Linked DNA regions of Schizosaccharomyces pombe. The protein of the gene in region 1 interacts with the protein of each later gene in a pairwise test. Each region holds a gene or a part of one and is shown on either strand. Other genes may lie near its edges. The genes, in order: dpb2 and psf2.

Region 1 (3,931 bases):
TAACCAACTAAACAAATTAGCATAAAAAAATTATAAGAAACTTGCTTACTTTTCTTTGCTGATGCACTTGTTGTTCTGCAAGGGGTATAGAATTAATATTGGAGGTACCTTGGGGAGTCTTCCCAAACTTTAATGAATTCCTTTGAAATCTTCCTGATATATCGTCTCTATAAATTAGTACTTCCTGAGAAAAGAAAATGATGCGGCAAGGGTTTGAAGCGAAAATGGTATGCTTACAAACGCGTTGGATCCGATTTACGAAATGAAGGGGTATTGAATGCTTAGGCATTAAGGATATCCCATTTGTCGTCCAAGGGTCGTTTGGACCGGGGACAAATATGAATTTTGTCTTTTCGCAAATTTTTGGAAACTTCTCAAGAGAAGCTGCAAGCTTATTAAATCCTTCTTTATATTGAATTGAGCTTCCTGAATTATGGAAAGCGGAAGACATAAAACTTCCACATAATATTATACAAAACGGCACAGCTTCAGAGGATTCATATTTTTGGAATATTTTTTCTAATGCATAGAAAGTTTGATGGTTGTCAAGATGAACCTCGCTGATACAAACAAAAGCTTGTGACTGATATGCCTGTTCCGCGTGACGGAGAAGAGCAAGTTGCTTTGCATCCATATTCAACCCCAAAATATCTAAATTATTAAGGGCCTTCAAGGAAGCATCACGGCGTTCAATGGGAGGATGACCAAGCTCAAAAACTAAAAATAGCCCAGAACTTAGAAATTGACCATTAACAAGTACCAAGCAGCCAGGGCAAAAGAGACCGAACCCTTGTTCTGCCTGTGATACGTCTAGTTGAACTTGACTGTCAAGATCTTCCAGCCATAAGGTACCATCGGGAGCTATAGTCAAGAGTCCGAACAACAAAAATGTGTTTCCAGCTCGACCTAATAAATTGCGAATAGGAGTTAATTGATATGTACCTGTTTGAGAGAAAGAGCCACTGAAAGAAGGTGTTTGAAAAGATTCATTGCGTAAAATACGGCTATATACAACATTGAATCTGCGGTTAAGCATATCTGTGCAGGCACTTGCAGATGCCATTAAAGTAGGAGACTGTTTTGATAAAACGAAAACCTTTCTTGATGAATCGTACTTAAATTTAGGCATTTTAAAAGCATCAAGGACTCTAAAGTATTTCTCATTTTTTATAGTTTCACGGATTTCCGAATTACTCGAATTTAAAAATGAACCGGTTGTCTCAAGCGTTTGAACTCTTGCTAAGGAAGATACGCGAACTTCATGCGGAACATTTAAATTTGCCAAGACAGGGATCAAAAGAGGTCGAGTAACTATAGGTTGAGTTTCATGAACTCGTTTCCAAGTTTTTGCAATTTCGTCTAGTAAGGGCTCACATTGGGAACGCCATTGTGAGCCGCATTTTTTAGATACGAAAGATGCTAATTCCTGCAGTGAGTCACGATTAATATTGAGATCGTACTTCCTGGTAAATACGTGGAAAGCAACCGGACGAAGGGCATTGGGTTGAACTTCAAAACTAACCTGTTCAGGTTTTTTTTCTACCGAATCCGTAATGGAATTGTTCATTCTATTTTAAGAAATATATTAATGCAAACCCTTCGCTTTTTGATTTTATAGAATCGTTTAGTGCCCACTCACTGTATCAAGGACAGATCAATGTATATGGTTTTCTAATCAACATAGGATGTAATCAATAATTTTTTGGATTCAAGTGAAAAAGTTTCAAAGGACTACTGTAGATGATAGCTATGGTGTACCCTTTATTCACTGTTTGTCTAATATCAAAATGCTAAATGCTAACTTCTCAATCTGGTTCATTAAAATATTTTAACGCACTACTATAAAATCATAAACTGTGTCAGCTACGCAGTTTAATATCCATATTAACGATACGCTGAATTGCGGTGAGGTTTTCTTGCGATCTATTAAATTGCGATATAAAGGTAATATAAGTAGCAACTAAGTATAGATATTATACTATCCAACTTATAGCGTTACTATCACTAACATAGCTTATAACTGAACTGACGAACGAAGTTTATCAGTAACTCTATTAATAGTATTTAAATGATATAGGTCTTAATAGACTATCATTAAAATCAATTTCAATATCGTATCATACGTGGTACGATGAATAATTAGGACACATGATATATAGTGATTCTCTACGTACTGTATCATAGCGTACTATAGTATGTCTAACAAAATGTTGAGTATAATTAATTCCTTTACGAAAGCTGAAATTATGTGTTAATAAATAAAGTAAAACTTAGGTAAACTAAGCTGTTTTATATAATAGGAACATTTCGAGAAGCCTATAAATAGATTATCTGAATACGTGTTGTTAGCATTGAAAATACATTTAAATTTCGCTTAGCTAAATATTTTGATTTTATAATATTCTCTGATAAAACATTTGATCGGCGAATTGTAATGTCAATTGATTTAGAAAATTAGCTTATTTTTATAAATATTCTTTTGTAAAATTAAGGAGTACTGAATCCTTGATCCTTCTACTCGGAAACTTTAGTCTAAGAATTGTTTGTTCTCTATTATTATTACTACAAGCTTTTTGAAAAATTTATTGCAATATTGCAAATAAATAAAAAAAAATACATTACTACTGATTTATATAATATGACTTTCTGAGTATTTTTAATTTCTTAGATTACAATTTTTGTTAAGGCACCTGATCAGCGTCAGCAGTAATTTGCTGAGCATCAAATCCGTTAGCAATCCATTTTTTGATGTAAATATGATACTAAATACTTTTAAATCCACTTCGAAGTAATTCAAAAGTCAATAGATATGAATTTACTCTCATATTAAAAAAACGCTCCATAAATTAGATTGTATTAATTGAATGTATTAGTATAAAAATTTTTGAATGAATATGTGTAACTGTCCCTATTATAGCTGAAAAAAGGACTTTCAACAACGTAAACAGTAAACGCAAGTTTACAAGAAAATCAGAAATAAGTAATAACTAATTTGTTTTAGTAGGGGGATTCTTATGTAGCGAGGATGGTGGGGGAACAGACGCATTTGAAGGACGAGAGTTTGTACGAGGTGGATTTCGATTATTATGATATACTTGGCCAGCAATTGCATTCATCATCATAGGCGGCATTTGAGGTAAGCCTGGCATCATAAAAGGGGGAAAAGGAGCCGGAAACCCTTGGACATGAGGCATTGATGGCATATCTGGGATGGCCATAGCTGACTTAAAAGCTGGTTCAGCGGTGGCTTTGGAAAACACAGCAGAAGATCTTGCCGCAAATTTGTTAGGTCCATTTGCATCGTCATCTTCACGCTTGCGCTTTTCAGACATTGGTGTATTGTTATCGTCAGAAGTACCAACCTTATCACTGTTTTTGCTATTAGAACCGAGTACAGATTTGACGACTGCCTCAATTTCCCTCTGTTTTTGGTAATCGGGGTTTAAAGTATCCAACAAAACATCTTTTCGATGGCAATTTGGACATTCAAAATCCGAATCTAAAAGAGCCGTTTGAATACACTCTTCACAAAAAAGTTTATCACAACAAGGTGTTCTGCAAGCATTTCTTGCTAATTTCTTACATAATGTACATGCCAAAGAAATGTTCGGAGGCTGCATTTTATACACGTCATTCGCAGTTAAAGCTGCTTTACGAGATTGATATGTTTCCCAAGACGCTACGTCTGGTTGTACTACAACATAATCTCCTTCAGCATTTATCATAATATTAGCAGCGTCGCCTTCAGCAGGCCTTTCAACGTTTTTCAAAAAAGATCGAGGTATTCCGGTAGTTCGTTTTACCCTTGGTTTTCCATCGTAATTAGGATCAGCGTTGGTAGGGCATGCTTGAATCCAGTGTCCTTTCTGACCGCATCTATAACAAATATATCCAGGGGGAGGTGGTTTGTCCGGAACAGAAGCAGCAATAC
Region 2 (3,778 bases), 2.4 Mb from region 1:
TTTTTTGTGCAATCCTCTCCTTTCTAACGTTTGTTTACATATTGAGTATTAGGTAACGATGTTACTTACATATTAGTTGAAGATTTATTGTTTATACAACAACTCTTATTCCCACCACCTTTTCAGCGCACCCAGAAGTACCGTCTTTTGATCAGCTGTTAGCAAACATCTGTTTTGTTTTTTGATAATTTATAATGCTTAATGATGAACAAGCGTAAAAGAGTGGAAGAGCTTGGAGAGACGAAACATCGTCAAGTACGACAGCGAATTCTCCAAGAACACAAGAACGATATACTTGAAAATTTAGCATTTGAACGTAAGTTTTTGTACCTGGAAGTAGTAAAGTGTTAACGGGTATTTTTCAGTTTCCGATAAAGTACGACGTTTGCGCTCAAACGCTAGTTTACTTGCTTCAACAATTCGTATGCGAGGAGAAATGCGTATCGCCGCTATTCCTCGCGCTCAACGAAATATGCATCTGCGCGATCTAAAGAACCATCTTTCCTGCAATGTGTCTGCCACACCGTGGAGAACGTAAGTGTAATATCAAATTTTACTTTGCCATACGTACTACTGGAAACACTAATTGCTAATTACTATTTCAGAAAAATAAAAGAATTTTATAATCTAGACGAGCTTTCCTCCCAAAAGTCCGCTAGACAACCTACAAAAACGGTGGCATCCTCCTCTTCTTCTTCATCAAAAAGCACCACCGTTTCCAAATCGAGTTCAAAGTCGCAAGTGTGAAACCCTCATCTACTGCTTACTGTGATAAAATTTCACTACTACAAAGTTGGTATTCATAAACACTTCGTAGGATTCATTATCATTATTTTTAAAGTACATCATCCACACGATACCGAAATATTCTCATGTGAAGTCCATTTATTTCCCACTTTACTTTTGATGAGTAACTCATTCTTCTTGGGAAACTTGAACAATTTTGCGCATTCTGTCCATCACCTCTCGAAATATAGGACGTATTTCGTTAATTTCCATTGCACCCAAATTATCCAAAGTTAGTTGAACTTCATTAATGGCTTCCAATCCCGTTCTTGCTTTACTTTGTCTAGCTTCTCGAATGTCCAGCAAAATCCTCCTGATATCCTCAACATCCTCGATATCATCAGCACAGAAGTTTAACAATAAATGCGCCGTTTCTAGCCACCGAAAAGGCAACTCTGAGAATGTCTCGTTTTCCAATTCATCATCTCGTATGTTTTCAAGTTTGCCTATTTCCATCCATTCCGGAGGTACAATCCTTGCCAAATTTTGCTTTTTTAGCTCAAGAGCCAACCATAAAGGAACCCGACATTTTTTGGGAGGCTTCATAATGGGAATCGTCGCGCTAACTAGCGGCAATTGATCCATTGTTTCTGAAGGAACAATGTTAATATACTCATTGCCAGCTAAAAATTCCATTTCCTCTGGTGAGAATGAAATTTCAAGTTCCCTTGGTAAGGCCATCTCTATCACCAACGAACAGTACAAAAATGCCTATCAATAGTACCGTTTTTGGGCTTAATGTCTTTTTTTATTTAAAGTTTTGTTTTTCTATTTTGGAGTTCGTTTATAGCATTTATTGGTTGTTATTCCTTACAGCATAATTTTTTGTGTGGTGGGTTTCGGACTCATAATAGTCACCCTCATCTAAATCACATCTTGCTCTTAGGTCATCGGTATATGATTGTCAAATTTTTATATTTCTCGTTTTAAGGTAATAATTTTGAATGCAAAAACCTTCATTGTCACAAGACCTTATTTGGATATTGAAATCAGTCCAATCTCGTAGGTCTACGAAAGGGTTTTTGCAAAAACATTCTTCGCTTAAGGATGGCTCTCCCAACAAGAAATCCTTCGCTCAGCCAATATCGAGTTCGTTTTTAAACAGAATTTCTATTACCAAAATTGATGATGTGGATTCTTTAAGTGATAATACCCTATATGGAATTGGTCGAAGTATAAATAGCCTGGCACGTTTAGGGATTCAATCAGTGATTGTTCCCACTTCCAATCCAATTGGCATGACATCTCCTTTTAAATATTTGGAGAATGGTACGGTCGTAGCGAAAAAACGTAAACTTTCAATCTTTGAGGAGCTACAGCAACAGCAAAATAGAGTCATTCGAGTTTCGGAAATTTTTTCGAAAGCGGGAGTGTTAACCCGTCCTAGCTACTCCTCTGTATGTCAATTGGGCCCTGAAGGCCCTAGTGTTGAGAATGTGCAAGGTATTTTTCAAGCGCTGTCTTCACTTTACACGGTCATAGTGCCAAGCTCGATTTTAATGCCCAACGTCATTGAGGTTCCAATTGATGGTAATGAGGTTCTTGCTGGTTTAACTTACTCGTTACACAAGCCAAACTTTGGGTTTTGGGTAGACCGAATCGTCATTCTTGATAAAAATGGTGGCATGCCATGTTCTAAACGACAAACTGGTTCTAGTCATGTTCTCATCAATCTGGCTCAAGAGTTTGACGAGTTAGCGAAAACACTTCCACCTTATCATAGAAAAAATTTGATTTTGGTAAGACGCTGTTTGAAAATGTTACCGGATGATGCCTCTGCTCTAATCACTACGCCTGAGGATGCTATGCTTACAAATCCTGTCTTAGACAAAAATCCGTTAATTCACAATGTTTTGACGGATCGCTCTATTATTTCATGTTCCTTGCCGCGCGATCGATCTCCTATTACGAAAACAACTGTTTTGCGTAGCGGTGTACCGGTATATACATTCCTAGGTCCGAAATGTCTAACTGATGGCTCCGTTTCGTGGGAAAGGCTTTGGGTTTTAATTAATGACTCCTTTAAGCGAACGCTTGATATGGACGCATATTTAGATAGGTTGAAGAATTCGCTAGCTGCAGTCATTATTGCAGGGGACTATTTAGGGACAGCCATTGTAACTTATGAACAACCAGATGGAACAACGAATGAAAAGGTCCCTTATCTTGATAAGCTTGCCGTCTCACAAGGAGCCCAGGGTTCAGCAGCAATATCTGATGTTATGTTTAATGTTATGACTGATTTATTTCCCAAAGAGTTGATATGGCGCTCTCGCCTGACTAATCCAGTCAATAAATGGTACTTTGAAAGAAGTGTAGGCTCCTTAAAGTCAAGCAAAACACCTTGGAAACTTTTCTGGACTGGAGACTCACATGTCAGAAATTTGGATCGAGTGAACCAGTATATGAGCGTTATTGATAAAATTCAGCCAACATGGTTGAATTGAGTGGAAGTTAACGATTGCACTTTATCAGAGACAAGATTATTTCGCTTCTTCAAAAGCACTTGTCAAACTTTTTAATAAAAGGAAAAAAGTCCATTTTGATAGGACATTAATTCTCTTTTGCACATTAGATTATAGATTGAGTAGTTTGCCTACAAACTTGCATTTTTCTTTAGTTATGATTTTTGTTTATTCCCCCACATAACCCCCATGTAGAGCTTAGAAAAGGTGATACTAGCTTTTTTCTTTTGTGAGTATCAACGTTTATCAACAAAACTAGTAGTAAACATGTCTTATAAACTTGAGTTGTTGCGTCGTGCCTTAGAACATAATGTTTTGAAGTTTGGAACTTTCACCTTAAAATCAGGCAGAAAATCTCCATACTTCTTCAATTCTGGTAATTTCACTCATGGTGCCGATTTATGCGCTCTTGCAGAAGCCTATGCCGAGACTATTATCGCTATGAACGTTGATTTTGATGTCATATTTGGTCCTGCTTATAAGGGTATCTCTTTGGCTGCTATAACGGCCGTCAAACTTTATGAAAA

Evidence for each region.
Region 2: the proteins of dpb2 (region 1) and psf2 interact in a two-hybrid assay, tested with the Schizosaccharomyces pombe proteins (one study listed by BioGRID).

The regions. Positions count from the first base shown.
Region 1 is NC_003423.3:3,657,186-3,661,116, forward strand, and holds the start of dpb2 (DNA polymerase epsilon catalytic subunit B Dpb2), read right to left. Parts: upstream 1,746-3,931; 5' UTR 1,568-1,745; coding exon 50-1,567; intron 8-49; coding exon 1-7. Other genes in the region: mpe1 (RBBP6 family ubiquitin-protein ligase E3), read right to left, coding at 2,988-3,931. UniProt on the Schizosaccharomyces pombe protein: As accessory component of the DNA polymerase epsilon (DNA polymerase II) participates in chromosomal DNA replication.
Region 2 is NC_003423.3:1,227,561-1,231,338, forward strand, and holds psf2 (GINS complex subunit Psf2), read right to left. Parts: upstream 1,628-3,778; 5' UTR 1,468-1,627; coding exon 916-1,467; 3' UTR 748-915; coding exon of another isoform or gene 606-747; 3' UTR 588-605; downstream 1-587. Other genes in the region: nbl1 (borealin N terminal domain-containing protein), read left to right, coding at 202-316, 366-534, 606-747; acetylglutamate synthase Arg6, read left to right, coding at 1,731-3,233; orotate phosphoribosyltransferase Ura5, read left to right, coding at 3,519-3,778. UniProt on the Schizosaccharomyces pombe protein: The GINS complex plays an essential role in the initiation of DNA replication. Has a role in chromosome segregation and is required for bir1 localization.